7 linked regions of the Sus scrofa genome follow. The protein of the gene in region 1 interacts with the protein of each later gene in a pairwise test. Links are inferred from orthologs where the notes say so. Each region holds a gene or a part of one and is shown in the gene's direction. Other genes may lie near its edges. The genes, in order: MORN4, RANBP3, SSX2IP, BEND3, EXOSC8, HMMR and SEPT6.

What was found.
Region 2: the proteins of MORN4 (region 1) and RANBP3 interact in a two-hybrid assay, tested with the Homo sapiens proteins (2 studies listed by BioGRID). The two-hybrid records come from large-scale screens. The link is inferred for Sus scrofa from reciprocal best matches to the Homo sapiens genes MORN4 and RANBP3.
Region 3: the proteins of MORN4 (region 1) and SSX2IP interact in binary tests that used the Homo sapiens proteins (3 or more experiments, as listed by UniProt). The two-hybrid records come from large-scale screens. The link is inferred for Sus scrofa from reciprocal best matches to the Homo sapiens genes MORN4 and SSX2IP.
Region 4: the proteins of MORN4 (region 1) and BEND3 interact in binary tests that used the Homo sapiens proteins (3 or more experiments, as listed by UniProt). The two-hybrid records come from large-scale screens. The link is inferred for Sus scrofa from reciprocal best matches to the Homo sapiens genes MORN4 and BEND3.
Region 5: the proteins of MORN4 (region 1) and EXOSC8 interact in binary tests that used the Homo sapiens proteins (3 or more experiments, as listed by UniProt). The two-hybrid records come from large-scale screens. The link is inferred for Sus scrofa from reciprocal best matches to the Homo sapiens genes MORN4 and EXOSC8.
Region 6: the proteins of MORN4 (region 1) and HMMR interact in binary tests that used the Homo sapiens proteins (3 or more experiments, as listed by UniProt). The two-hybrid records come from large-scale screens. The link is inferred for Sus scrofa from reciprocal best matches to the Homo sapiens genes MORN4 and HMMR.
Region 7: the proteins of MORN4 (region 1) and SEPT6 interact in binary tests that used the Homo sapiens proteins (3 or more experiments, as listed by UniProt). The two-hybrid records come from large-scale screens. The link is inferred for Sus scrofa from reciprocal best matches to the Homo sapiens genes MORN4 and SEPTIN6.

Annotation. Positions count from the first base shown.
Region 1 is NC_010456.5:108,996,664-109,001,140, reverse strand, and holds the start of MORN4 (MORN repeat-containing protein 4), read left to right. Parts: upstream 1-1,530; 5' UTR 1,531-1,685; intron 1,686-1,704; exon of another isoform or gene 1,705-1,889; intron 1,890-2,069; 5' UTR 2,070-2,149; coding exon 2,150-2,162; intron 2,163-4,477. UniProt on the Homo sapiens protein: Plays a role in promoting axonal degeneration following neuronal injury by toxic insult or trauma.
Region 2 is NC_010444.4:73,107,635-73,111,558, forward strand, and holds part of RANBP3 (ran-binding protein 3), read left to right. Parts: intron 1-1,562; coding exon 1,563-1,628; intron 1,629-2,497; coding exon 2,498-2,590; intron 2,591-3,826; coding exon 3,827-3,924. UniProt on the Homo sapiens protein: Acts as a cofactor for XPO1/CRM1-mediated nuclear export, perhaps as export complex scaffolding protein. Bound to XPO1/CRM1, stabilizes the XPO1/CRM1-cargo interaction. In the absence of Ran-bound GTP prevents binding of XPO1/CRM1 to the nuclear pore complex.
Region 3 is NC_010448.4:129,047,826-129,052,274, forward strand, and holds the start of SSX2IP (afadin- and alpha-actinin-binding protein), read left to right. Parts: upstream 1-1,360; 5' UTR 1,361-1,381; intron 1,382-4,449. UniProt on the Homo sapiens protein: Belongs to an adhesion system, which plays a role in the organization of homotypic, interneuronal and heterotypic cell-cell adherens junctions (AJs).
Region 4 is NC_010443.5:73,204,026-73,207,949, reverse strand, and holds part of BEND3 (BEN domain-containing protein 3), read left to right. Parts: intron 1-2,684; 5' UTR 2,685-2,695; coding exon 2,696-2,732; intron 2,733-3,511; coding exon 3,512-3,726; intron 3,727-3,924. UniProt on the Homo sapiens protein: Transcriptional repressor which associates with the NoRC (nucleolar remodeling complex) complex and plays a key role in repressing rDNA transcription.
Region 5 is NC_010453.5:12,815,528-12,819,925, forward strand, and holds the start of EXOSC8 (exosome complex component RRP43), read left to right. Parts: upstream 1-1,553; 5' UTR 1,554-1,602; coding exon 1,603-1,619; intron 1,620-2,732; coding exon 2,733-2,769; intron 2,770-3,004; coding exon 3,005-3,068; intron 3,069-4,398. Other genes in the region: ALG5 (dolichyl-phosphate beta-glucosyltransferase), read right to left, coding at 350-415. UniProt on the Homo sapiens protein: Non-catalytic component of the RNA exosome complex which has 3'->5' exoribonuclease activity and participates in a multitude of cellular RNA processing and degradation events.
Region 6 is NC_010458.4:60,311,410-60,315,333, reverse strand, and holds part of HMMR (hyaluronan mediated motility receptor), read left to right. Parts: intron 1-795; coding exon 796-870; intron 871-1,001; coding exon 1,002-1,180; intron 1,181-2,088; coding exon 2,089-2,237; intron 2,238-3,924. UniProt on the Homo sapiens protein: Receptor for hyaluronic acid (HA). Involved in cell motility. When hyaluronan binds to HMMR, the phosphorylation of a number of proteins, including PTK2/FAK1 occurs.
Region 7 is NC_010461.5:98,043,351-98,047,274, reverse strand, and holds part of SEPT6 (septin-6), read left to right. Parts: intron 1-655; coding exon 656-788; intron 789-3,314; coding exon 3,315-3,505; intron 3,506-3,924. UniProt on the Homo sapiens protein: Filament-forming cytoskeletal GTPase. Required for normal organization of the actin cytoskeleton. Involved in cytokinesis. May play a role in HCV RNA replication.

The DNA of each region.
Region 1 (4,477 bases):
CTTGCTTGAAGTCACCCACAGTTGGCGGCAGAGATGGGGTTTGAATATAGTGTCCAAGTCTTTTAAATCTACAGTTTATTGAGCACTTAGAATGTGAGATACAGTACTGAGCATTTTGTATTGTATTTTCATACAAGTGTCAGGGAGACTATGTCATTATTACTATTAACATCCTATTCTGGGAGTTCCCATTGTGGCTCATCGGGTTTATGAACCCTGGACGAGTATCCACGAGGATGTGGGTTTGATTCCTGGCCTTGCTCAGTGGGTTAAGGCTCTGGCATGGCTGTGACTGTGAGCTGTGGCCTAGGTCGAAGTTGAGGCTGGGATCATGCGTTGCTGTAGCATAGGCTGGCAGCTACAGCTCCGATTGGATCCCTAGCCTGGGAACTTCCATATGCTGCAGGTGCAGCCCTTAAAAAAGCAAAAAACAAAACAAAACAAAAAACCCTATTCGACAGACTAGGAAATCCCAATTCAGCAAAATAATTTGCTTACTCTCTTTGTAGGCTTGTCTTCTCTTAAAAATTAATTATAGGAGTTCCCGTTGTGGATCAGCAGAAACGAATCCGACTAGGATCCATGGATGTAGGTTTGAACCCTGGCCTCTCTCAGTGAGTCTGGGGTTCAGTGTTGCAGGTGAATTGTGGTGAGGGTCCAGAAGTGGCTCGGATCCGGCATTACTGTGCCTACAGCGTAGGCTGGCAGCTGCAGCTCTGATTCCACCCCTCGCCTGAAAACTTCCATATGCCACCGGTGCAGCTCTAAAAAAACAAAAAAACAAAACAAAACACCACAATTAATTATTGTCTTGAATTTTTCCGTGTGCATGAATATTTTCTTCTCCATAGCTAGGCAGTAAATCCTAGGAGAGCGGTAATCATTTCTATTCCAGCCTGGCAGGACCTGGCATCACGCTGCATTCGCATTGCTCGGTAAGTAAACATATGGATAAACCGGTTGGTGTGCATGGTTATTGGGAGGATTTGCTCCAATCTTGGAGCAAACTGTATTTTAAATACAAAGGATATGAGTAATGACACCACCACCATAAATCCCTATAATGAGTGCAAAAAAAAGTGCCCTGATATCACAGTGCTGGCACAGGGTTGACACTCATTAAACTGTAGTTGCCCCGTCTTGCGCTTTACAGTTTACAAAACTGCACCTCAAAAGCCGATTTGGGGTTCTGTCCTTCAGCTCCGCGGAGGTGCCATTAACAACTGTGCAGATCTAAGTGGGATCCGAGCCGCTGGAGTTGGTCACTGTTACGTCCGACACAGGTCTGGTTTTGTTTGGTTGGGGGTTAACATTTCGGCTAGGGTGCCTCTAGGCAGGCAAGACCTGAGTTCTATGGGTGGATGAGGTGGGACCTTAGGTCAGCCCCACCCTTCTTTAGGATGTTCCGCCAGGGGCTCCCTAGACACTCCGCCCCACACAAAGATGGCGCGGAGCCCGGGCTGGACCAATGGAAAGTGGCGTTGCTCCCAGTTGCCTAGGTAACAGCCAATGGGCCGCGGGAATTGTGCTCGGTGCGGCTGCAGGGGATGGCGGCGTCAAGTCGGGCGGGCACTGGAGGTGGTGGCGGAGAGGCAGGTGGCAGGGGCGAGCCCGGCGGAGCGGAGGTCCGGGCCTCTGGAGCCCCGCGTCGGGGCGAGACGGTCATCCCGGAAGGTTGAGCCCAGGTTGGCTGGCCGCGCGGGTGGGAGGGAGTCAGGGGAATGTGGTCGGGGAGGAAGGCACTGAGGGGCCCATCCTGAGATGACAGCGGCTGTGAAGCGCGGCTCCATCCTGGAGTGGGGGCGGTGGCTCTTCGAGGGTCCCAAACCTGGGCCTCCCGTCTCCACCGCGGGGTCCGAGGCCCGAGAGAGCCCACGGCGTCCAGGATGGTGAGTGGGGTAGGTGGGGGCTATATGAGGAGGGGATGCCATACCTGTGTGAGTGGAAGACCCCGCCCGCACGGGAGTGCTGACCCAGGGTGGAGAGAAGGAGCGGCGCTGGAAGGCAAGAACCGGATGGGAGAAGAAATGGGGAGGTGGACGGGGAATTGTTGCCTTGTTGCAATCTAGGGCTTTGTTGGCTCCGGCCCGCCTCTGTCACACTCTGGTGGAGAGACGTCCCCAACACACGTCGAGGCTTGGAAAATGGGATGCTTCAATCAGGTAGTTGATGGTGCTATCCCTACTGTCTGGCAACTCCAAATTGTTTTGGTACCAGCGGGAGTCATTCGGCTCTGTTAGAACCCGGCCCAGGCATTTTACTTTCTCATGAAATAGAATAGTGTCTATTCTACTGTCCCGGCAGTCCTTCTCATCCAAAGACGTCTGGGGTTTTTTATTTGGTTTGTTTTGTTTTGACCTTTCTGTTGTCAGGATTTTCTTCCCACTTTCTTCCATCAAACTGTCCCACTGTATTCCCGCTGACTTTTATCTAGTGGCCATACATTTGTTTACTTTTCCAGTCCAAGGAAGAATGAGTGAAAGAGACTCACAGACTCATAACAAGGACAGTTATTTTAGGCTCACTTAAAATACTTTAAAAAGAACACTTGACCTCTTGTTCTGGGTTCCTTACAAGCCTGATCTTTGTTCATTAAAGCCTTCAGTTTCTTCTTTTTAGGATTCTAAAAGCCTAAGAGCTTTTATAATTGAAAGAACTTTGACAAGATTGTCATACCCTGAGGAGGGTGGCTTTAAGGGGACACTGTGAAGGTATATGTAGATAGTAGATGCCTCCAAAAAATATTCTTAAATTGAAAATCTTTTCCCCTTTATGTTAGGTTTTTTAATCCTCTGAATTTGGAAACAGGTTACCGGGAATGCATAAATGTTTTTTAACCAGTTTGATTTCTGAAATAAAAAAAAAAAAGGCAAATGGAATGAAAACAAAAGGTCTCTTTACTGTCTTTGAGTTCTATTTGGAAATGTCTGGGGCAGGAGAACATAAAGATGGTATGGATATAGTCTGTTGTGTAGACTGATAGTGTGTTGGCTTACAGGGATAAAATAGTTATTTTCTTTTAGATAAATGTTTGGATTGATCCTTTGCAATCTGTCTATCAAGAGAGAGAAAGGGTGGACATCTGTCTAGAAGCATGAATTGTCTTGGCTTTGTAACTAGATTCCACATGTATATCTGAAGCCTAAACTCCTAGGCCATCTCTTCTCTTTGAAAAAAAAAAGGTGTTTTTTGTTGTTGTTGTTCTTTTTTTTACTGCACCAGCGGCATGCAAAAGTTCCAGGGCTAGGGATCAAACCAGTGCCACAGTAGCCACCTGAACCATGGCAGTGGTGTGTTGCTGGATCCCCAACCCACCGAGCCAGTAGGGAACTCCTTTGAAAAGATTTTTTGAGTGGCTGATAAAAATACTGACTTGCATCCCTTATTCAATTACTGGGTTTTTAAAAAATCTTCATCAGCACAGCTACATATATATATATATATATATATATATATAGTCTTTTTGCCTTTTCTAGGGCCGCTTCTGCAGCATATGGAGGTTCCCAGGCTAGGAGTTGAATTGGAGCTGTAGCCACTGGCCTACACCAGAGCCACAGCAACGTGGGATCCGAGCCGCATCTGCAACCCACACCACAGCTCACAGCAACACCGGATCCTTAACCCACTGAGCAAGGGCAGGGATCGAACCTGCAACCTCATGGTTCCTAGTCGGAGTTGTTAACCACTGCGCCATGAAGGGAACTCCACAGCTATACTTTTTTAAACTAGATTTGTCTTAGTGATCATGGTTACTAATGAAGTTCTTTTTTTGGGTCAGTGGCTACACAGCTATTAATTAGCATGGCTAATTACAAAAGTCATAAATGAAAACCCTGACGCTGTCTCAGGCAATGCCAATATCAATTATTTGGACGCACATTGACGTTTCTAGTCTAATGTGTTCCACCGAGGCCTGAGACCCATGGAGTATACATGTGTTTCCTTTCATTAGCACATCTGATTGTGCTCTTGGGAATGGATATCATTTTGACAAGCAAGTGTTGAAGTTTTTGTTTTGTTTGTTTTGTTTTTTGTCTTTTTTTTTAGGGCCGCACCTGCGGCATATGGAGGTTCCCAGGGAAGGGGTCTATTCAGAGCCGTAGCCACCGGCCTACTCCAGAGCCACAGCAACGCCAGGTCTTAGCTGCATCTTGGACCTACACCACAACTCACGGCAATGCTGGATTCTTAACCCACTGAGGGAGGCCAGGGATTGAATGTGCACCTTCATGGTTCCTAGTTGGATTCATTTCCGCTGCACCACGACAGGAACTCCGCAAGTGTTGAAGTTTGCTGTATTTCCCTGGAACAAAAAGAAATGGGAATTTGCCGATGCGCTTTTGAAAACACATGAGAGGATGGTGGCAGGGTTAGGTTCAGAGATGATGTTCCGGTTACAATTGCTATATAGCCAGTTACTCCACACTCAGCTGCTTAAAACGGCCACGTGATGCTCACAGATTCTTTGGGTCAGGAA
Region 2 (3,924 bases), on another chromosome or scaffold:
ATTCCACCAACGCAGGCTCCTGGAAGCCCGTCAGGCTCAGCTCCTTCATACTAACAAGCAGTGAGAGTTGTTTTAATCCTGTTTTTGCCCATGGAGAGCAGTTTGGCTCTCCAACATGAAGGCAGCAGGAAGGGGGCCTTCCCGTTTGATTGGGAATTCTGACTTGGTTTTGTTTCATACCCGAAAATTTGGATTGACAAGGTGTGCTTGTGGTGATGTTTTTGTGTATGATTGAAGGGTTTCTTATATATCCACAGAATTGTGCAGCCATCACCATAATATATTTTAGAATGTTCTTGTCACTCCAAAAAGAGACCCAATCCCTCAAGCAGTCACTCCCCACTTTGTCTTCTGGCAACCGTGAGTCCACTTTCTGTCTCCATGGATTCGCCTGCTCTGGACATTTCATATAAATGAAATCATGCACTGTGGGACCTTTTGGGGTATCTTTCTATTAAGCCTTTACATTTCTTCCAACATGTTTTATAGTTTTCGTTTGTTAAATTTATTCCCAGGTTTTGTTTTTGTTTTTTTTTTTTTTCTCTTTGGTGCTATTGTAAATGGAATTGTTTTCTTAACTTCACTTTTGGATTGTTCACTGCTCGTGTGTGAAAACACACAACTGATGTTTGTGTTTAATCTTGTTCCCTGCAACTGACAAGGGTTTTTTCCTCATGGGTTGGACCTTAGGCACAAAGGCAAGGCTACCTTTGGGGCCCAAAGTGCTGCTGTCCTTGTGCTCTTCTCAGTAGAAACCTGTCCTCTTGGAAACACGGGGCTTTTTGTGCTGGTCCTTCTGGTCAGGGATTTCATTAGACGACCCCTCTCCCCTCCTCCTGCAATGGGCAGGGTCATCACGACACAAGGATTAAAGGATCTGTGTGCCCCAGTGGCTGAGCTGAAAACCATGCCCTGAGCTCCCCAGGAGCCCCTATATTTGTCAGCTCTGTTCCCCGTCAGTCCTGCAGGAAAGCCTGCCTCCTCCTCCTCCTGGGCCTTCCAGTGCTTTCTTCGTGACAAGGTGAAGCTCCCCACACACATCTGGAGAGAGAGCAAGCCTGCTCTCTGCCACCTTTGATCTTTCACCACAGAAAACGCATCTCATCTTCCAGACATCTGCTGGTAGGACAGAGGCTTTTCCTGACTGCGGCCATGTCCTCCTGGAAAGGGAGCCGGGTCCCAGGGACCGTTACTCTGGCTCCCTGACATTCCGCTGGACCCGCAAGGGCAGCACAGTCTCCACCTCTCAGCCCCTGGTAGGCAGCTGGGTAGGTGCCCATGGCTTAACCAGCCCTGCACTCGCCCTCCAGTCTTCTGTTGCCAGCAGTTTTCCCCAGAGCCAGTGCTGCCTGCAGCCCTCTGCCTCCTCCCTGGGCTGCTGTACAGACTAGGGGATTGGTTGGGCTTCTGCTTTGCTGTTTTAAGTCGGAAGTATTTTCCCTAGTTCTCCAGCGCCATGGTCACTGATCCAGACCTGAGTACTCTTCTGCTCCTGTTCCCTCCCAGCTTTGTTGCCCCACCCCAGGCAGGCCTGCTTTTTATCTTTCATCTTATGCTTGTAGAGGAAAAGAGCAGTGGATTCCGGTTGAAGCCGCCAACACTGATCCACGGCCAGGCACCCAGTGCAGGTAGGTGTCCTCCTCTGAGGAGGAGCGTGGAGTGGCTTTCTCGCCACCTTTGCAGCCTCTTTTGTCTGTGCGCTCTGGCCTCTGCTCACTTCCTGACACGGGAGCACTGGGAAGAGCCTGTCAGACCAGGAAGGTTCTCCTGCCTGTGAGCCTGCTGCCCTAAGTAGGCGGCCACAGGGGAGCAGGCGTGACTTGGCGTGGGTCATCTGGGCTCTGTGCCCGGTAGTAGCTCAGTTTGTCAGGCTCTCTCCAGAGTGTTCTGGCCACAGCATGCTGCAACTCTAACCTTGATTAGGGTGTCCAAGATGCAGTGGCTGCTAGTGAGTGGGGCTCAGCGATGGTGCCATTAGGCACATCTGATGCAGCGGGAAGCCCCTGCAGGGCCTGAAGTGTCTTGTGGTCTCTGCCCCATAAGTTTGGCCGAGGGATTTTCTCAACGTGGCATTTTGAGAAGCAGGTGCAAGGGGCCCTGTCTGCACCCCAGGCAGAGTCCTAAACTGACTGGTCAGCTGTGCCTTTGCTGCCTTCCCCTCACCATCTGCACTTGACCCTTGAGGCCTCCACTTGGATAGCTGCCCCTTGGCTCCCTCATAGCATTACTGTGCTCACTGGATTAATTTGAAGACATGATTGGTTGTGTGGGGGTTTCATTTAATCACATATAAAAATAACAAAAGCTAGGATTTTTATGTCGAGCTGTAAAGTAAGTATCTTGGGTTTGTTTTAATGTGCTCCCCTGACATCAAGTGGTTACTGGGGTTAACTTTTCTATAAAGTGCCTGAGAGCCAGTGAGGCGGGGTGGTGTTGCATCTCCCCTTGGCCACATGGTCCAAGGGCCCGAGGCAAGCCAGCCACTCTCTGTTCCCAGGTCTGCCGAGCCAGAAGCCCAAGGAGCAGCAGCGGAGCGTGCTTCGCCCAGCAGTGTTACAAGCTCCTCAGCCAAAGGCACTCTCACAGACCGGTGAGTCACTCGCCCTGGCCCCTGGGCTCCTGGCAGGGAGAACTCTGTTTCACATGGGTGGCTTTGGCCCGCTCTGCTGAATGCACAGGAAGTAAAGAGCACCGGGGACAATCCCTCAAGTCCCCGTGAGCACTGAAGACAGGCAGTTCCACCCACTCCCTGCAGTGCTCAGGGGCATGCTCCGAGCGCACCCTGGCTTCCCGAGAGAGAGCAGCACCTCGCTGAGCTCAGACTCCAGATTTGTCCCTACGTGTTCACAGGCAAAACTCAGCCCTGTGTGTGTGAGAAAGCAGATGGTTGATGAGATGTGCTTTCTCACCTCACCTGCCAACCTGGAGACTGAGCTCTGAAACCATGTTTTCGTTATATCCACACAGGCTGTGGTTTTCCGTTAATCCTTATTTTTTATTTAAATACTAATAAGCTATTCTCTTCCTCTTAATCTTTCTCTCCTGTTCAAGAGCTCTTTATCAGGAGGAGTGCAACATCCTGCCTAGAAAAATAGTTACTGTTTCTGAAGAGTTTTTATTATGTGGGAATTTTTTTTGGTCTGATGCTAAATAGTCAAGGCCAGATTTAAAGTTGTGTGTGTCACATAATTTCAACTATTAAATAGGAAACTGCATAGAATAAGGACTTATTAGTAAAATGTGTTTTGTAAAACTCATAATTCTCCCCCAAATATATTTTCTTTTTTTTTCTTTTTTTCCTCCTAACCGTATCATTTCTAAATACACAGAAAAGCCACATGGTTCTTTGTGGAATAAACAATAAGGAATTCTTGGAGTTCCCATTGTGGCTCAGCAGGTTGAGAACCCGACATAGTGTCTTCAGGATGTGGGTTTGATCCTTGGCCTAGCTCAGTGGGTTATGGATTTGGCCTTGCCGTGAGCTGTAGTGTAGGTTGCACACGTGGCTCGGATCCCGTGTTGGTGTGGCTGTGACTGTGGTATAGGCTGGCAGCTATAGCTCTAATTTGACCCCTAGCCTGGGAACTTCCATGTGCCGTGGGTGTGGCCCTAAAAGGAAAAAAAGGGGGGGGTATGGGAGTCTCACTTTTGTGAGGTTTTAGTTTAGAGTTTCTTTTAACCTAAGAATTTGTGACTTTTAGTCGTGATGCCAGATCATTTCCTTAAAAAAGGAGACATTATACCGTTGGCCAAATGGTAGGAGGGAGCTTGGAAGGTGGTCCAGAGCTACCCTCCGAGGTACCCACTATCTTTTTTCTCCCCACAGTCCCGAGCACCGGCACCAACGGGGTCAGTGTCCCGGCAGACTGCACAGGGGCAGTGACATTGGCCTCACCTGACAACCCCGCCCGGAGAAGTCCATCT
Region 3 (4,449 bases), on another chromosome or scaffold:
GAAAAAGAAATTTGCCTAGTGTGAAATATAAATAATGAAATAAATGGAAATGTATAACTAGGGTAAAATTGAATTGCCAGTTGCAGAATAAAAAGATAAGAACTATTTTTTTTATTGCAACACTTCAGCCTTCTGTACTGAAATGTATATTCCCAAAAACTCTTCACATAAAAGTCTGGGTTTTAAGTAATGACAGGTAAAACTCTTTTAAAGAAAATCCAACATATTAAAATATAATCTTATAGAACGGAGATGATGATAGGAGATTGTTTTACAAAGGTGTCATTCACCATGGACATAGATTTATCATAATTTTAAACATCTAGTTTCACTAGTACATTTAGATTATGATTTGATTGCTAAATACATTATTTAGACATGACTTTTGCTGGAATATATCTATAATATAAAGCAAGTACTAGCCAGAAGACATAGTGCTAGGGCCTGAAAATTTCAAAACAGTAAGTCATTTTGTGCAAAACTGTCTTCATCAATGTATCTTAATTTTTCTGGCCTAAATTGGTAAAGAAGGAAAATATAATTTAGAAAACCATTAATATCTGAGATGCATATTTATAATTCAAAGCATAGACACGGTCCCACATTTTCCTTGCTTCCATTTAATTATTCCATTCAATCAGTCCTTTGTAAAAATCTCCTATACTTCATTTTTCACTGACTTTTTTGCTCACCAGACTGTTTCCACATGTGCCACGTGAGTATATTTGTACCAATAAAATGAAATATCACACCCTTAGGTCACTTCATGAGAGCTCTTTTTTCAATGTGCTCCCAGGATGTTTTTGGTTGGGATCATCAAACAACCTAAACCCTGAAGCTTTATTGTTTACTAAACAGAATGCCCAGGGGAAGAAAGCCCCAAGTGGGCTTGGGAGCTTAGGGACGTTACATGGACCCAGGTAGCTGATCTGGCATTTCAGCCCAGGCCATGGGACTCAAGGGCACTAGTGCACTGTACCTCTTCACAACAATGTCAGACTGTCACTATTCTGTTTTCCTGGGAAACTCTGAGTTTCTGTTGTGAGCAGGGTCTTAAATCATTCAATAAATATGCATTAAACTGTTGAGGAAATTTTCAAATAACAGCAGGGAAACTAAGACTGTGTGAAATAAATGCGTGTTTTGGTGCAGAATTATATCAGAACTATTCAAGTGAATGCTGGATCTTTGTGCTCCGTGGTTTTTAAATTTATTTCAGTATAACTAAAAAAACAGTTTGGGTCATTTATAGTCCCCATACTTCCTGGGAGGGACTTTTGTTGTCTACTCAATGCTCAGAGTTTAAATTTGCAAGCTTAGAAGAGCAGACTGAGTCTAATTGCTGGGTGAGAAGGGTTTAGAGGCCACTGTAGTCAGCAAGGTAAGTTTCTGTGTGTGTGTGTCTTAAATGTGTGTTCATTGCATTTCTTAAAGGAGGTATGCTTTTATCTTGGAAATACAGGGTTTGAGAACTACCTTGGTTGGGTACGTGATCACGTTTCTATGATAGCACCTTATTAACTGTTGGAGTGATTTCCACACAATCAAGTTTTACATGACATATTTTAAAATTAATGAATCTTGGGACAAATGGAGAGTTGGAAACCAAAGCGCTAGAGTCTGGTAAAAATCATGCGTCTCAAAAAAAACAAACCAAGACAAACAAAAACAAAACAACAACAACAAAACCTTTCCCAAAAGGTAGGGCAAAACACGCAGCAGACCAGACAAAAATCTAAAGCACTAAGAGTGGAACACCTAGAAAATGATCAGGCATTTTGTCTGCTGTTCTGTGTGTTTGTGTACGGTGTTGCGGCATGGCAGGTCAGGTAGGGCAGGGTGGCAGGGCAGGTAATGATGAGGAATGGTTTCCTTTTCTGAGAATCTTTACTTGGGTCGAGGTGGTCTGCTTTTTCTGCAAACTCAGCCAGCACTTTATAAATGGCACAGAACTGTTATTTCAAGCTGAACTACTACTGACCCAAATCCAAAGGGACTGGCTAGAAATGAATTGTCTTTGGACATGCAGCAAGATGCAGAGATTCACTCAGCTAGCTAGAAGAGCCAAGCCCAGCTAAATGTAAGACCTCCTTTCAGACCAGGAAAGAGCTAGCGATCTGGCCTCTGCCTACGGGCAGGCTTGCAGAGTGAAAATGGCCCCTAGGCCCTATCCAGGTCCCTCTCCTCCGCAGAGTGATCCCTGACCACTCCAGCCCACAGCAACGTCTCTGAAGTTTTGCTGTCCTTGGAATCGGTCCTGTACTATTTTGCCGTTAATTATGAACAGGGTTAAATTGATCTTGTGGATAAAATGAGGCCATAGGTATGAAAGTTCCCAGTACAGGGAGTTCCGTTGTGGTGCAGTGGTTAACGAATCCGACTAGGAACCATGAGGTTCCGGGTTCGATCCCTGGTCTTGCTCAGCGGGTTAAGGATCCGGCGTTGCCGTGAGCTGTGATGTAGGTCACAGACGCGGCTTGGATCCCACGTTGCTGTGGCTCTGGTGTAGGCTGGTGGCTACAGCTCCAACTGGACCCCTAGCCTGGGAACCTCCATATGCCCGGGAGCGGCTCGAGAAAAGGCAAAAAGACAAAAAAATAAATAAATAAAAAATAAAAAATTCCCAGTACAGATTCCAGCAAGATTTTGTTTATCCTCCCTGCCACCCCTGGAGAGACAGTCCTGGCCACATCAGAGAGTTAATGAAAGTGAGGCCATTAAGTAGCAGCGATTCAGTCCATCTTATCTGCTACAGCATATAGGCCCTAATAAAAAAGGTTGTTGGATTATTAACTTATTACATATATTAACATCAGAGCTTAAAATAAAAATATTTTAAAAAATATAAACTTGTAAAAATTAATGTATTACAGAAGTTAATAGAATATTAAGCTATCTTACCATTAACAGTTTGGTTAGCAACCCTGTAGTGCAGGCACAGAGGGGCTGGGACTACAGAGGCAAACATGACCAGCAAAGTCCCTACCTTCATGGGGCTTACATTCTGGTGGGAGGAGACAGACGAGCAGCAAGCAAACGATTAAACCAATAAAACCAGACCTGGAAAGGCTGCTTTACCTATAGACATGGGATCTGAATGATGAAAAAGAATCAGAGCCTTCCAGGCAGACTGAATAGCACGTTCAAAGAACCAAAGGAGAAAAAAGGGAGCTGCCATGGCTGGCACTTGTGTACAAAAGTGAGAGTTTTAAGAGGGCTATAGGCGCCAGGTCATGCATGCATGAGTGGATAGGAAGTTCAGTTTCATGCTAAACACAATGAGAGGCATGAAAGATTCTTAATTGGGAGAGGGGGCTGAGAGGGTCTGAGTTTCATTTTTGAAAGACTGATCTAATAGAGGCAAGAATGGAAGTCTGCAGAAAGTTTGGAAGGGATTCATTCACACATACACAGAAGCATATAGAGTTTTAAAATACACGTGTGCTTTTCCTGCGACTTGTTACTGGTGCATATTTTTAGAATTCTTCTTTGAAATTATGTTCACAGTCAGTTTACTGTCTTAGACATCAAACACATCTTGTTTTTTGACCTTTCCCTATCCACTCAAATGCAGTAACTTAGTTGGAAAACACAGGTTTGGCATTTTAACACAACTCCAGAATGTGTTCATCAGATTTGGCTCTGAATAACTTCTTCTCAAGGAAAGCATTCTTTTCAAAAAGTCAGTGTCTACCGATGTGATACTTTTGAGCAGCATTATGGGAACATGTATATAGGCTGCCAAGGTGATTTATTTGAAATATAAAACATCCATTAGAAGTCACATTCATTTATTTACCAAGAATTATCTGCCACTAATCACTAAGCACCAAGCACTCTTTTAGACACTGGAGATATATATATCAGTGAACAATCAGAAAAATGCTCTCTCCCTCTCTCCCTGCTTGGCTGACACTCTAGGCAAGGGAAATAGGCCAAAAAAGAAAATTAACAAAGTAAGTAAGTAAGTATTATGGTTGAAGATTATTATAAGAGCAAAGTAAGAAAGATTTAGAAAGCTGGAGGGGTGTTTTTCCAATTTTAAATAATATTTGTGAGGTTGGTCCTCACAAAGAAGGTGACTTTGGTTAGATGTGGAAGGGGAGAGATAAGTAATACAGATGTTAAGGGAAAGAACATTCAAGCAGAGGGAATAGTGCAAAGGTCCTGAGGCAGGAAAGTGACTGGGAAGAATGAGGAACAGTGAGCTGGCAATGGCTGAATAAGTGAGAGAATTGTAGGGTGTGAGTTCAGAGAGGTACTGAGATGGAGGGCAGGTCATAAGAAACGTGTAGTTATGGAAAGAATTTTTTCTTTAACACTGAGTGAGAGGGACCAAAGCAGAAAAATGATATGATATGAATTAGAATTTTAAAGAATTACTCTGACCACTGTGATATAGACTATAGAGGAGCCAGGGTGGAAGTTTTGATGTGTTTTGGAAAATAA
Region 4 (3,924 bases), on another chromosome or scaffold:
TTGAAATAGTTTAGGGTGAGATGGAGGTGCACACCAAATGGCCAGGCAGCGCCAGGCCCCAAGTTCTCAGGCTGTGGATATTAATGAGAATTCTCATCTCACTCCCCACCACTTGAGCCAGATGCACTTGGTTTTCCAGACTTGCAAATGGGAAATTCCCCGGCTTCCCAAGGAGCTGTGGCTTCTTTGCTGGCTAGGAGGGAAGGGGCCCACCACACTGCATTCCAGGTTACTTCTCTGCTAAGCTACCATCTGTCAACTGGCCTATAAATGAAATTGGAAATGTCTTCCAAAGGAGATGCACTGTGGTGTCCTGAACGTCCACGAAGCTGCCGCCGTCGCCACCCCCACTTCTCACCTCTTCCCGTGAGCTTGCTCAGCCTTCTCTGGCCTCTCTTCCCACCCGCAGGTGGCTCAGGGGTGTACCCCTCCTTCATCATTTTCTGACGCGAGAGTCAGGGGAAGATCAGAATTCAGGTGCTAAATTGCCCACGTTAGTGTCACATGGTGGTGGTTCAGCACTTAGGCTTCGGCTCACCTGCCCCTCGCCTGCGCCCTGGTCCCGCGCCGCTTCCGGAAACGGAAATGGAGTGTTAGACGGCCATGTGCATGCTTTTCTCGCGGGTTGTTTCTTCACCTACTCCTGGCTTTTCTTGTAGCATTCGCTCATCCTTTTCATGCTTTCTGTTCAGCCAGAGTCTTTGTGGATCCCCTTTCTCCCCAAATAAACCATCCGCTGTCTCCTACCTTTCCCACCACTTCTCTCCAGAATGTAGTTTGTTTTGTACCCTATACCTTCTCCAGCAACTCAGTGCTCATTCCTCCTGAGCCTCCCTGTTGGGGATGGGTTATGTGCAGGGGAGGCAGGGTCTCCCAGGGCGGGCGCAGCTCCGGCCCTCACAGGGTTGGAGGCTCAGATCATTTCCTTGAGAGGCCCCTTGGCTGGCCTGGGAATCAGGCCTGAGTTTCTGCCCAGCATGGGCCAGACTTTCTGCCTGACAAGAGTTCTCATGCCCACCTACGTGCCCGTGCCGCCCTCCCCTCAGAGACACCTAAACATGAGGATTATTTCCTTGGAATACAGTGGAAATTCTCTTTGCTAAAATTCACCATTGGTAAAATAGTTCTCGGATTCTTGAATTTACTATTTATTCGCCCTCCATCTCACCTGCATGGGATGGTTTTCAAATAAGAGATAGTTTGGTAAGTAGGGATTCATTTTATTGTAATTTCAATTTCACATAAATCTTAAATTTCCTTGGAAAGTTAGTAATACGGGGATGAAAAGAATTGTGCCTATCATGAAGTTATTGTGATAACTGAGAATAGTGCCTGCCATACATCATGGCACTATATTATTGTTGCTATATTAGTGGTTTTTGCAGTTATTATCATGTGCTCAGATTACCTAGACATACTCTCCTGCCCTCCCCAAATCTGTCCATCTGAAGCAGGACCACATACCATTCCACGGCTGCTGGGTGAATAGTTTATTGAACTTTGTAGATGACGTTTCTCTTCCTTATAGAAATTTCCTAAAGCTACTCCTTAGCCTGCTTCCCTCTGACCCTTAACCAGAATGGGCACTCAGTAATTTGCAAGCAGCTTTACCTTTGTGGGAACCGCATCTCCTCAATGTAAATAATAAACGCTCTAGTCTTTTCCAAAGTAAGGACCTCTTTTATACTTTATCCTATTTATGGACACACTGTTATGTAATTAGGGGAATCTCAAAGTTGTAGCGGTGCTTTTAATCACAGTGTCTGTTCCATTTCACTGGGGCAGTGAGAGTGAGGGGCTGCTCTGCCCCAGACCTTGCAGCTGATACAGGCCACCTCTCCTGCCTCATTCCCTCATCAATAAGAAGGGTGGTTTGGACCAGATCGTGTAGCGCTCAGGAGATCTGGGAACCCACAGTGCCTCTTTCTCCTCATTGTTGCTGAAGAAAGGGCTAGACCAGCACCATCTAATAAAAATATGCCACATATGTAGATTAAAGTTTTCTAGCAGCCACATTAAGAAGTGAAATTAATTTTAATAAAGTATTTAGTTTAGCCCAGTAAATCTGAAGTATTATCATTTTAACACATAGTCAATATAAAAATTTACTAATGAGATTTTTACATTCTTGATGCTGTGCTGAGTCTTTGAAATTCAGCATGTATCTTACAGCACATCTCCATTCGGAGTCCATGGGAGCCACATGTGACTAGTGGCTACTAGTGTGTGTCATAGACAGCACAGGTCTTTTTTGGACCACCTGGAGTCCTAAGACCTCAGCTTAGATCATGGGGTCCACAGGCTCCACCCTTAGTCAGCCTTTTCATTTTATGGCTAGAATTTACACGACAGGGAGTAACAGATCATCCAAACTGGGGTCTTTCATAAGACTTGATTTTTTCCAATATGTTTGCTTTTTTGGGAAGTGGCTCTCAGTTGATGTTTTAGGATGCGTTCTGCCCTCATAGTCTTGGAAAAGCCCTCCCAGCAGGCATACAGGAGGCCTGGCCGCATCTGAGCAACTGCGAACAAGAGGATGCAGTTTTCCTTGATGTCGCAGAGCCATATCGGTTTAACCTTCTCTTACCCAGAGCCAGGGTTGGGAGGGCAAGGGTTTTTCTCATGGGTAGGTAAATTTACAAATAAACAATAAATCAAGACTTTGTCTTTGTCTTTTCATTTAGTGGAATAGAAGATGAACGCAACTGAATTCAGTGAAGATGTAGAAGAAGGTAAAAAAACCCTTTAAAAATATTTTAACTTAATACTTTTATTAGGCTATACAGTCCCATCGTTCAAAATATTAAAAGATGTATGATGGAAAGTCAAGGAAAAGTCTCCTCTCACTCCTGAGTCCCATCCCCCACCACACACCGATTTTATTTTGTGTATCTTTACAGAGTTTCTTTCTTTCTTTTCTTTCTTTTTTTTTGGCCAGCATGCTGAAGTTCCCCAGCCAGGCTCTAACCCTCTGTACAGCTATAACCAGAGCCATAGCAGTAACAATGCTGGATCCTTAACCTGCTGAGCCATGAAGGAACTCCTAGAGTTACTTTTAATTTATTTTTTATTTAATATTTATTTATTTACTTATTTATTGGCCACAGCATGCAGCTGGCTTGATGTGGGATCTCAGTTCCCAGACCAGGGGTTGAGTGGACCCAGGGCAGCAGCAGTGAGAGCCCGCATCCTAGCCACTAGACCCCCAGGGAATTTTTTAAAAGCATCATTTAAAAGAATAGTGTTTGCTTCTCTTCTTCCATGTCCCCCCCCCACCCCCCCAAGGAAAAGGCTTTAAAACCTGTTTTGAACAAAACGATCTTGGAGTATGATTTCATTGTATAGCACTAGTGTGCCCAGATACAAATTGCTTGGTTGGAAAGGCAGTTTGTGATGGTTACTCAGACATTGTTTGCTGAGTGATTGTATCAGAGGGCGGCCTGCATACAGCCTGCCGCTGGAGACCCTGCTCATCTCGGCGCTGATGAGCCCTCTTTCCTCTCTGCCACAGTTCTGAAAAATAACACTGTGAAAGTGGAGACAGAAGCCGAAGATGCTGCCCTGGACTGCTCGGTGAATTCCAGGTCCTCCGAGAAGCACCCTCTGGACGGCGTCTTCACTGCCCTCCAGGACTCTAGCAAGAGGAAGCAGCCCAGCGGCAGCGGCGGCGGCGACGGCCCGCCCGACCCGGTTCCGAGCGTGAAGCGGCGGCGGCTGATTCCCGAGGTGAGGGTTTGCTCAGGCTCCAGCCCTCTGATGAGATGCCGGATCTCTCTACTGGGACGACGCGGGCAGCTGCTAATGCTTTGGGCACGAGAAGCTTTCATTGCAGCTCTCCCAGCTTTGGCTTAAGTTTCTAGAAGGTGTCTTCAACTGGAAGTCTTGTCTGTGTCTGAATTCTCTATTAGGGTTAGGGGAGTCTTC
Region 5 (4,398 bases), on another chromosome or scaffold:
GGGGCCAGAACTGCAGCGACTGCAAGGCCGGGAGGAAATGCTGGAGAGGTCGGGACAGACGCGGCGGGCGGCAGAGGGTCCGGAGACTAGGGGGCGAAAGAAGACAGGGTGGGCATGGCCCAGTGAACCCAAGTTCTAGGCTCTGGACACGCAGGGAAATAAAGCTCCAAGATAAAAATAAAGAACGTTAGAAAGATGCGTAAAATTCTAGCAGAAGAAATTCTGGGGTCGGAGCTTAGGTGAAGCATGGTTCAAGGGACACGTCGAAGAACCGGCAGTGCGGAGGAGAGGATGCCTGGGGGCCGAGTCTCCACCCGCACCCGCGTCGGTCCCCAACCCCTCTCCTCACCAGAATTAGGGCTGCGGCCGCCAGCCCCGCGCCAAGCACGGCCAACTGCAGCAGGAGCGGAACCATACTCCATGCCCAGAGGCCGCCGCCGCCCGCCCTCTGCAGCGCCTACACACACGCGGAAGTGCAGCCGCGGGCCCCGCCTCCCGCCCGCAGAGAGGCCGCGCCGGTCGGGCGCCCGCCGCCCACAGCGCCGCCGCGCGGCGAGGCGAGGAATACTTAGCGGTGTGAGAGACGCTCAGTCCTTGCGAGGGGCAGGCGCTCACTCAGTTCCACAGTAGCAGGGTTGCCAGATTTAACAAATAAAAGTACAGGATATCCATTTAATTTGAATTTCAGATAAGCAACGAATCGTTTTATTTAACAGCATTATTAAAATACAACTCACATACCATACAATCCACACATTAATTTTTTCAAACTCTGATAATGTAAAACATAAAATTTGGCACTCTATACACTTTACGTGTACACTACAACGACATTAATTGCATTTACAATTTCTTTCAACCATCGTCACTATTTCTAAAACTTTCCCAGTTATTCCCCAGCTTCTGGTAGCAACTAATCAAGTGAAAATTTTTTCTTGTACCCACAGTAACAAACTACTCTTTATCTGACATTCAAATTGAGTTGGATGCCCTGTATTTTATCTGGCAACCCTATCTAAGAGGGAGGTGTAGGTCTTGAACCATGACACAGTCTACAACAAAACTGCTCCTTTGGAGCCCGGTCAGGTTGCTTGGTGCGGATAAGGAGCGAGCAGAAAATTTAGGTGATTCTTCCGTGCTGGAGCAGGGAGGACTTTACCTGGGAGGAGGCAAGCCCAGGGCCCAGTCAAGAAGGGGGCGGGAAAAGGATGCTGAAACACTGGAGTAATGCTCCACACTCAAATACTTGATCCTCTGATGTAAGGTAGGTTTTCTCCTGAGTCTTGAACTACCACAGTTTCTAAACAGACACTGGTCACTTCTCTAATAGCCGATTCGTCAAAACACGCCAAAAGCAAGGAAACCTTGAAGGGCGTCTGGCTAGTGGCGGTCGAAGGGAAGGCATGCAGGAAACAATCCCCGCCCCGCCTGGCTTAGCTCTCCCCCATTGTACTCTGCCTTCCAGATACCAGGCAGCAGAAAGGCACAAACAAACATCAGTGTTGAAAGTGCCGCGGCGGAGCAGCTGCGCGGGCCAGAGGTGAGGCGATACCCAGGCGCAGGCGCAGGCGCAGGCGCAGGCGCAGGCGCGCGGGCGGGAAGATGGCGGCCGGGTTCAAGTGAGTGTGGCTGCACGGCGGGCGGGAGTTCGTATCCTAGCGGATTGCAGCTTCATTTACTCTTTAGGTGGGATTTTTCTCACCGAGAGACCATCCCACCGGACGCCCACTTCCTTCCATCACGGAAGTAGGCGACGGGCGGGAGGACTGGAGGGGGTCGTAGTGAAAGGAACGGGGGCGTCCTCCCCCAGTGAGGCTGTGCTGGAAGGACTGTGTGGCGTTGCAAGCGCTGCAAGCGCTGCAAGCGCTCTGGCTTGGTGTGTAGCGACATGCAGCCCAGGAGACGTTGGGAATCTCCTAAAAAGTGTTCCGCCCGGGCCACATGCCACCCTGCTCTCTCTCTCTCTCAGTCTTCCGTAGTTTACTTTTGAAAGCTTTTGTGCCTTACTCGGAAGGTTTTAGGTGTTTTTAGTGCCACTCTGGAGAAGCCTATACATTTTTCTTTTCAGAGTCTAGTTTTAAGTGGATAAAAGAAATGGAATTCCAAAGAAAACCAATTATATTGAAACAGTTGTCTATTTGTATATAAACTCCAAGTTTATGGCATAGTGAGATAGATCTGTTTTAGAATTAACTTTCTTAAACAGGGTTTAGTGGGGAGTCTAGTATTTCGAAGTAACATGAGTATTACATATATCTTCGACAACTACAAAGTGATAACGAAAACATTTGCTATCTGTGGTTGTTAAAGTCGCAGGTACGGCTCATAATGGTTTACTACCTAGTCATAATTGAAGAATATGCTGAATTTCAGTGGCGGAATGGGTAGTGAAAAATAAATATGTAAATTTTACCATTCACGGAGAATCCCTGCTTCAGAGGAGAGTGATGTTATTTTCACACTTGGATTAATTCTCTTTAAAGATGCCCCAGGGTCTTGGGCTCCAACTTTCTACTTGTTTAAGGCAGAATTAAGGACCGCACTTGAGTGTGATTGCTGTGGCAAGGTATCTGCTTTTTATAATCAGTAACATGTGGCAACATAAACATTAGAACTTAAGAAACTTAGTTACCAATTTTGGAGATTTCTGCTCCATCACCACACTCTTAAGATTTTAGCCAAGTTTCTGAATTCATATTAAGATTCTTTATCTTAATATTTATATGTTTCAGAACTGTGGAACCTCTGGAGTATTACAGGAGATTTTTAGTAAGTAAAGGTGGTTATGTACATGTTATGCCTTTTGATAATGATGTATGCTTTTTTCATAAATACAAATAAGTCATATGTTGTATAGCGAAATTAATGTTAAATGTCAGTTATGCCTCAATTGTTAAAGACAGTTTTCAAGTAATCCAGATTTACTTGAGTTGAAGTTTAATGTGTATTTCCTGGTGCGTGTAAAATACACATGTATGTAATCTACTTTTGTGTATTTATTTAGAAAGAGAACTGCCGACCTGATGGAAGAGAACTTGGTGAATTCAGAACCACAACTGTCAATGTAGGTGAGGATATTTTGAGTTCTAAAATACAGTGTTGAGGTTGCTTCAGTTCTGAAAATAGAATTTTTCTTGTTTTTTTATACTAGTAAATTTTTACTTGTTAAGTTTTAAATGCATCATTCTCTCAACTGGTATGTTCATTTTATTATTTTTAAATTTTTTTTGTCTTTTTGCCTTTTTCTAGGGCCGCTCCTACGGCATATGGAGGTTCCCAGGCTAGGGGTCTATCGGAGCTGTAGCCGCCGGCCTACGCCAGAGCCACAGCTACGCCAGACCGGAGCCGTGTCTGCAACCTACACCACAGCTCACGGCAATGTTGGATCCTTAACCCACTGAGCAAGGCCAGGGATCGAACCCTCAACCTCATGGTTCCTAGTCAGATTCGTTAACCACTGAGCCATGACGGGAACTCCTGGTATGTTCATTTTAAATTTTAAAGTAACTGTAGTGTTTCGCCCCTTCCTTTAAAAAAATCTTGAGATGTGGGAGTTCCCATCATGGTACAGTGGAAATGAATCCGACTAGGAACCATGAGGTTTCGGTTCCACCCTGGCCTCACTCAGTGGGTTAAGGATCCAGTGTTGTCTGAAGCTGTGTGTAGGTCGTAGATGGGCGGCTTGGATCCTGCATTGCTGTGGCTGTGGCGTAGGCCAGTGGCTACAGCTCCGATTGGACCCCCAGCCTGGGAACCTCCATATGCCATGAGTGTGGCCCTAAAAAGACAAAAAAGACAAAAGAAAAAAGAAAAAATTTTAAGATATGGTTTTCTCATATATCTTAAATTTATTAAATCTTCTATTGCAAACATAGAATTTTCTCATTATACCTATATGACATGCCCAAGTTTTAGCCCCTGAGCCATTTAAACAGTATTTCAGACAAATTGTACCACGTTTAAGGGATTACAATGATTTTGTCAAGAGATTTTAATCTGTGTAACAGTCCTGTGACTGAACAATAAATGATTAACTCAAATTCAAGGAATAATTCTTTTTTTTTTTTGTCTTTGCTATTTCGTTGGGCCGCTCCCACGGCATATGGAGGTTCCCAGGCTAGGGGTCGAGTCGGAGCCTTAGCCACCAGCCTATGCCAGAGCCACAGCAACATGGGATCCGAGCCGCGTCTGCAACCTACACCACAGCTCACGGCAACACCGGATCGTTAACCCACTGAGCAAGGGCAGGGACCGAACCCGCAACCTCCTGGTTCCTAGTCGGATTCGTTAACCACTGCTCCAGGACGGGAACTCCATGAATAATTCCTAAAATGGTACTGTTGGCCTTTAAACAACGAGGGGATTAGGGGTGGCAATCCTCACACAGTTGAAAATCCA
Region 6 (3,924 bases), on another chromosome or scaffold:
GTGGCTCAGTGGGTTAAGGATCTGGCATGGTCTTTGCTGGGGCTCTGGTTACAGCTGTGGCACAGGTTCAGTACCTTGCCCAGGAACTTCCACATGCCGCTAATACAACAAAAAAGAAAAGTGTATATTTGGAATGCTTTCTCACTCAGAAAAACTTGGAGTTCCCACTGTGGCTCAGTGGAATCGGGTCTATCTCTTGAACACTAGGACTCAGGTTCCATCCCTGGCCAGTCACAGTGGGTTAGGGATTCGGCATTGTAGCAGCTGCAGCATAGCTCACAACCGTGGCTCAGAGCTGATCCCTGTCCCAGGAACTCCCTATGCCATAGGGCAACCAAAGAATAAGAAAAAAAAAAAATGAGTCTTCTATTCACATGTATTAAATTGTCAACTCGAAAGAGCTCATATTAATGGTTAAGAGTTTGGACTCGGATTTTCCATCATGGCTCAGTGGTTAACGAATCCGACTAGGAACCGTGAGTTTGGGGGTTCAATCCCTGGCCTCACTCAGTGGGTTAAGGATCCAGTGTTGCAGTGAACTGTGGTTGTAGGTCGCAGATTCGGCTCGGATCCTGGGTTGCTGTGGCTGCACCGTAGGCCGGTGTCTACAGCTCTGATTAGACCCCTAGCCTGGGAACCTCCATATGCCGCTGGTGCAGCCCTAAAAAAGACAAAAGACCAAAAAAAAAAAAAGGAGTTTGGACTCTGGAGTCTGCCTGTCTGAGACAATGGTAAATAGTACAGAGTGTGCTTTATGTGTGATTATTGTATGTATTAATAATCGTATTTTTTTAGTGTTTCAATAGAGAAAGAAAAAATGGATGAAAAATCTGAAACAGAAAAACTCTTAGAATATATTGAAGAGATAAGGTAATATGAATAGTTTTAAATTGGACCTTATTTGTTGAAGTATAATGAATACATCATTTCCATCACTTTTTTAGTTCATGTTCCCTGTGCTTAGGTAGATATGCTCTTCAACATAATTTGTTTTAATGCAGTTGTGCGTCAGATCAAGTGGAAAAATACAAGCTAGATATTGCCCATTTAGAAGAAAATCTGAAAGAGAAGAATCATGAAATTTTAAGCCTTAAGCAGTCTATTGAAGAAAATGTTGCTATGTTGTCCAAACAAGTAGACGACCTGAATGCTAAATGCCAACAGCTTGAAAAAGAAAAAGGTATTCTCCTGTTTATAGTTTCACTTTCTCTAAATAAGGACTGCCTCAAATAATTTTTCTAAGAAGACTTTTCTTTTTTTAGCTTTATTGAAGTGTAGCTGATTTTTCCTTTAATTTCTGCTCTACAGCAAAGTGATTCAGTTATACTTTCTTTTTTTTTTTTTTTTTTTTTTTTAAAGGCTGTACCCGAGGCTCATGGAAGTTCCCAGGGTAGGGGTCGAATCAGAGCTATAGCTGCAGGCCTACACCACAGCGACAGCAATACCAGATCTGAGCTGCATCTGCGACCTACACCTCAGCTCACTGGCAATGCCGGATCCTTAACCCATTGAGTGATACCAGGGATCGAACTCGAGTCCTCATGGATATTAGTCAGGTTCATTATCCTGAGCCATGACGGGAACTCCCTCTTCTTCACATTCTTTTCCATTATGATTTATCATAGGTTTTGAATATAGTTCCCTATGTTATATAGTAGGATCTTTCTGTTTATCCCCTACAGTATATTTTTTAAGGTATTACTATGTTAAAACAGCTTTCAAAAATGATTATATAAACAACAAAAGTTTTGTTCTATGTATGGGAATTTTTGTCTTTTATACTGTTTGTTCTCTATTTCAATATATTGCTTGTCCTGATTGAAATATGTACAAATGTGCAGTTCTTGACTTCCTCATTGGGTGGCCATTTAAAATTGGTAGATAGATGGAATTAGGTTTGGGGGTTTTATTATATAAAGCATATACTATATTACACAGAGTAATGAAACATATTTCAGAGTCCCCCCCCCTTTGGAAATACTTGATCTCTGTAACATGGTAAATGTAGCATAGTAGAATATTATGAGAATCTGGGTTTCTCAAAGTTAATATCTAATTACAGCATTGTTAACTTTTTCCCTTTTCTAGGAGACCTCATCAATAGGGACAGATGTCGGGATGAAAATCTAAATTCTGAAATACAAAATTTAAAAGAAAGGTCTAACCTTGAAAGACAAGAACATGAAGAACTACAACAAAAAGTATTGCAAATTGAATCACTTCTGCAACAAGAGAAGGTAGTTGACTATAATATAAAAAAAAAAAAACAAAACCTTTGTGCTTCTTTTAGGTCATAGATTTCCCTATGTATCGGGAAAACTTTACATTAAATTGTATGTATCCTTTGCTCCAACAATTCCATTTTTAGAGTCTTATCCTGAAGAAATAATCATGCGTGTGTGGTATGTTAACTGATATTCACCACAGGGCTATTTTATTGATTTTGTGAAAAAAGTCAAGCAAGAGTTGAAGCACAGTAAGGAAATTGGTTTTTGTTTTGTTTTGGTTTGTTTGTCTTTTTGCCTTTTCTAAGGCTACTTCCCACAGCATATGGAGGTTCCCAGGCTAGGGGTCTAATCAGAGCTGTAGCTGCCAGCCTACGCCAGAGCCACAGCAACGCAGGATCCGAGCTGCATCTGCAACCTACACCACAGCTCACGGCAATGCCAGATCTTTAACCCACTGAGCAAGGCCAGGGATCGAACCCGCAACCTCATGGTTCCTAGTCGGATTCGTTAACCACTGAGCCATGACGGGAACTCCTAAAAGAGTATCTACTTAGATAAAAAACAAAACTGACAGTTTTTAAAAATTCAAATTACGTAGAAAATATTTTGTGTATCAGTGAGAAAAAAAAGATAGTTCGTTAGAAAAATGGGCAGGAGTTCCCATTTGTGGCACAGCAGAAATGTGCCACACTTAGGTCACAGACACGGCTCTGATCCTGTGTGGCTGTGGCTGTGGCCGTGGCTGGCAGCTGTAGCTCTAAGTAGAACCCTAGCCTGGGAACCTCCATATGCTGCGGGTGTGGCCCTAAAAAAAAAAAAAAAAAAAAAAAAATTTGGCATAGGATGGAAATTGATAATTCTTAGAAATAGAAATTCATATAGCCTATAAACATCAGAAATGCTCTACCTTACTAGTAATTAGAGAAATGGAAATAATTTTTTTTTTCACTTAAAGTTAGATACGAACATTTGAGGAGTTCTCTTATGGCAGAGTGGGTTAAGAATCTGGCGTTGTCACTGCATTAGCTTGGACCACTGCTATGACAATGCCAGATCTTTAACCCACTGCATCACAAAACTCCTCAGCAACCATTTTTATCATATTTTAACTGATCTTTACATACACAGTGTATATCATTTAAGTTTTTAAAAGTATATGAATACATAGAAAATATAGCGTACCAAACTAATAGTTATCTCTGATATGGGAAAACTAAGATGGGGAGTAATCAAGGCAATTTTCACTTTTTTGTAATGTCAGGATTTTTTCACAATGGTGATTTACTTATATTTATTCATTGGTATTTACTTATATAACTTTAAAGGAGGAGGAAGTGGGAGGGACAGGGAGTTTGGGGTTCATAGGTGCAAACTATTACATTTAGAATGAATAAGCAATGAGGTCCTATTGTGTAGCACAGGGAACTATACCTAATCTCTTGGGATAGAACATGATGGATGATAATATGAGAAAAAGTATCAATATATGTATATATATGACCAGGTCCCTATGCTGTACAGCAGAAATTGACACAACACTGTAAATCAACTATACTCTAATACAAAAATAAATAAAATATGTAAAAGTCATAGAACTCCTTTTATATAATATCATATGAGAAAAATATGTGATAAAAGCCAGTTGTAGAATATGATTTTAGTTTGCTAAGAAGTGTGTGTGTGTTGCATAGGAAAA
Region 7 (3,924 bases), on another chromosome or scaffold:
GCTGCCCTCTTCAGAGCACACATCCTCTTCCTCTTCACCAGGCTAACTCCTATTTCTTCACAACTAAGTCCAGACTGAGGGCAGGGAGACTTAACCCCGGCATCTCCCACTAGACTGTGAGTTCCTTCATGGCTCTAGATATTGCGTGACTAGCGTGCTGTCACCTGATCCTGTGTCCAGCACATGGGGGAATCTCATCACGTGCCTGTTGAAATCATTCACTAATGGGATCCGTTTCAGAGCCAGGACCTGGCAGCATAGTGCAGTGAAAGGACCTAGATTATGAGACAAGAGACCCAGCATCTGGTCCCAGCTCTGCCGCTAGCTGTGTGATCTTCAGCTGGTCACTTCACTTCTCTGAGCCTGTTTCCTTATCTGTTAAATCAGGGTATAGAAACAGATGTGCTAAGCCTCTCCCAATTCCAAACAGCTCTCTGGTTTCCCAGGGCTGCCCCATTCCTCTCCCCCAGCACCCCATGACCATGCTATCACGTGTGCCAAGCCAGGTGGCCACACCTTTGTGGTTCTGCTTTTGTGTGTCTCCCAGAATTGAGGGAGGGAGAATGGGGAAACCCAGCGAGGATCACGGGGGGCTTGTTTTGATCGAACAGGAGCCATTCCAAAAGCAGGGGAAATAACCCGACCACGTGTGCAGTTTACAGGAGACGTATGAGGCCAAAAGGAATGAGTTCCTAGGAGAGCTCCAGAAAAAGGAAGAAGAGATGAGACAGATGTTCGTCCAGAGAGTCAAAGAGAAAGAAGCTGAACTTAAAGAGGCAGAGAAAGAGGTAAATGTGAGCCTGTGTGCGTGGTGGGAAGAAAAAGGCAGCTGAACTTGGGCAAGACAGAGATTTCTGCCCCGAGACAGGAGCGGGGGAGTCTTAAGCAGCCTCTGGGCAGGGATGGGGCACACAGTATCTGTAGCCCAGCCTTAGCTGGCACAGAGGCAGCTGCAAGATCCGGATCTTCTTGATCCCTCATTCCCCAAGGCCCAGAGGTTTTTTCCTTCTCTGTCATTTAATTCTATAGAGCCGCACTGTCCCATATGGTAGCGGCTACCCTGTGTGACCATTTAAATTTAAATGAATTGAAGTTAAATAAGATTTAAAACTCAGTTTACCAGTTGCATTGGCCACATTTCAAATGCTCAACCCTCATGCAACTAGTGGCTACCCGATAGGAACATTTCCATCACCGCAAAAAGGTCTTGTCGGCCACCACCGCTTGAGAGTCAAGACCTGGAAGTGCCCGTACGGTGCAGCAGGCCAAGGAGCCAGCGTTGCTGCAGCTGTGGAGTAGGTCACAACGGCAGCATGGGTGGGTTCGAATCCTGACCTGGGAACTTCCAGATACCTTGGGTGCGCCCCTCTCCGCCCCAAAAAGAGTCAAGATCTGACATAGCCCCTGGAGGTCAAGGGCAAGCTGATTGTTTTCCCCCTTTCAGGGAGGTCGGAGCTCAGTAGGGATAGTTGATTGATTTCTTGCCTGGTCTGCCCCATCCTATGTGCTCTGACGGCCGTGGGAAAAGAGGTCCCCAGGAGTCCCAGGTACCTTGCTGAATCCTAAACCAGTGACAGCTGGTGCATTTCCCCATGCACTTGAATATTCTGTTCCATTTCATTCTAGTGTTAAAGAAACATCTGTGCAGCTCGGGCGAGTTTTTAAACGGAGGCTTGATGGTCTATCTGGAGCTTTCATTACTTAAGCCATGACTGATAGAGTGCAGATAGCCCTCTAACCATCACCTTGCCTCTCAGGTCCCACTACTGATTCACCCACTGCCGCCAGATAAATTGGCGTCAGCTGCAGTTTTGGTCATGTTGGCAACTGCTTCAGCTCGCTGGGCCTCGAAACCCACAAAGAAAGGAAGCACTTAATTACTTCCCAAGTCTCTTCCTATTTTAATCTGCTGTGACTCTTCCAGTGTTATTGGCAAAGCCCGTGGCAAGGGTATTGACTTCATTTCAGTTTCACTTTTCAAAAGAAAAATATCCCCCAGTACTTTGAGGAAGAGAGGGGAGGGCATCTCAAAGATAAACAGATGAATGAAAGGCCGGTGAACAAAAGCCAGGTAAAAGCAGCTGAGCTGCAGAGCTCCACTCCTCCCCTGCCCCACGCGGCCAAGAAAAGCCAGTTTGCACGGCAGGTCTGCCGTCCATCTCCACTTACTCTGTGACAGTCCCAGATGCCTGTGGGACACCCGACCTCCTTCGTGATGTGCCCAGAGCAATGCAAACCCTCAATTCCCTCCTAAATCGTCAAAAGAAAGTGAAATGATGCTTGCTCTGCTCTTTCTACTCGGGGGAGTTTATCCCATTCTAGTTTATGACCATTCATACCCCTGGCTCCCTGATCCACTTATCGCAGTGGCATGCTAGAATATTCTAGCTCTTCTCGTTTGGGTCTCTGGCCCTGTTGAGAGCTGGTTAAGCTTCCCCGTGATCAAAGCTGAGGTTTCTGCCCCATCCCACTGTCTCCTTCTTTTATCTCCTCCTGTGTCCAAGGACAAGTGTTTTCTTTGCACAGCTTCGGCATTGCTGGAGTTTTCTCTGCAATCCCTGATGATGCTTGGTGATTGGAGGGGATCAGGAAAGGCAGGGGCCCCTTTCACCTTGAGCGATTTCAGTCTGTGGTCATCTAAAGAATGGTTGGCCTTGGGCGAATTCCTTAACTTCTCTCCTACCTCTGTTTCCCATAAAATGCAGCTAATAACAGAAAACCTACCTCATAGGGTTGTTGTGATGATTAATGAGTTAATACATATAAAGTGCTTATAAAAGTCAGTTCCTGGCCTATAGTAAGCACTTGATAGATGTTCTAGATTATAATCGATGTAGTTATTACTGTATGGGACTCTTTTTTTTTTTATTTATATGCACCCTTAGCACATGGAAGTTCCCGGGTCAGGGGTTGAATCTGAGTTGCAGCTGCAGCACCACTGGATCCTTTAACCCTCCATGTTGGGTCGGGGACCAACCTGCACAACCCGAGCTGCTGCAATCTGATTCTTAACCCACTGCACCAAAGCGGGAACTCCTATGGGGACCCTTTTAAATAAATAAACTGCTTGATTAAGCAGAATGTGCATTTCCCTGACCATATTCAGGAGCAGAAATGAGGAGGTAAAATGCCAAGAGAACTATCCAGAACATGGTGCTCTTTGATGCAGTCATAGCTGTCTCTGGCGGAAATGTCTCAAGTCCCAGGGTCTTGCAGGTCACAGGCCTGCTTGTCCCCCCCACCCCGGGCTCGGCTCAGCTGGGATCTGCTCATGGGGGTGGCCCCCGCCCCAAATCCCTGTGCTTCCCTGCCAGCTGCATGAGAAGTTTGACCGTCTGAAGAAACTACACCAGGACGAGAAAAAGAAGCTGGAGGATAAGAAGAAATCCCTGGATGACGAAGTGAACGCTTTCAAACAGAGAAAGACGGCGGCCGAGCTGCTCCAGTCCCAGGGCTCCCAGGCTGGAGGCTCACAGACGCTGAAAAGAGACAAAGAGAAGAAAAAGTAAGTAGCAGGCTGCTCTGGGGTGAGGGCTTCCTCCTCCTGCTCGTCCCCTCAGGGCAGTGACAGAGGCCAGCTGTGGGCCTATAGGCCCTATACCTGGTGTTCCCATGGGACCTTGGGATTCCCTGAGTTTGGGGAGCTGAGAGTAGGCAGGGCTGTATGTGGCCCCAGAGGCCCAGCCCTCCTGCTCGGCCTCTTGGGAAAGCCCTGCAAACTCCAGGTAGGAGGAAAGTGGGGGAAAGCAAAAGGATCGTGAGAGAGTAGAAAGAAAGGACACAACGAGAAGCTGCAAAGTGACAAGAAAGAGATGAATGAAAAGAAGGCCAGAGAGAGGGTGGCAGAAGCCTCTGGGCACCCTCTTCCCCCCGGTGACTCAAAGGCCTTCTCGCCTGTCCTGAGTCTGAGGTCGTGCACCTCTC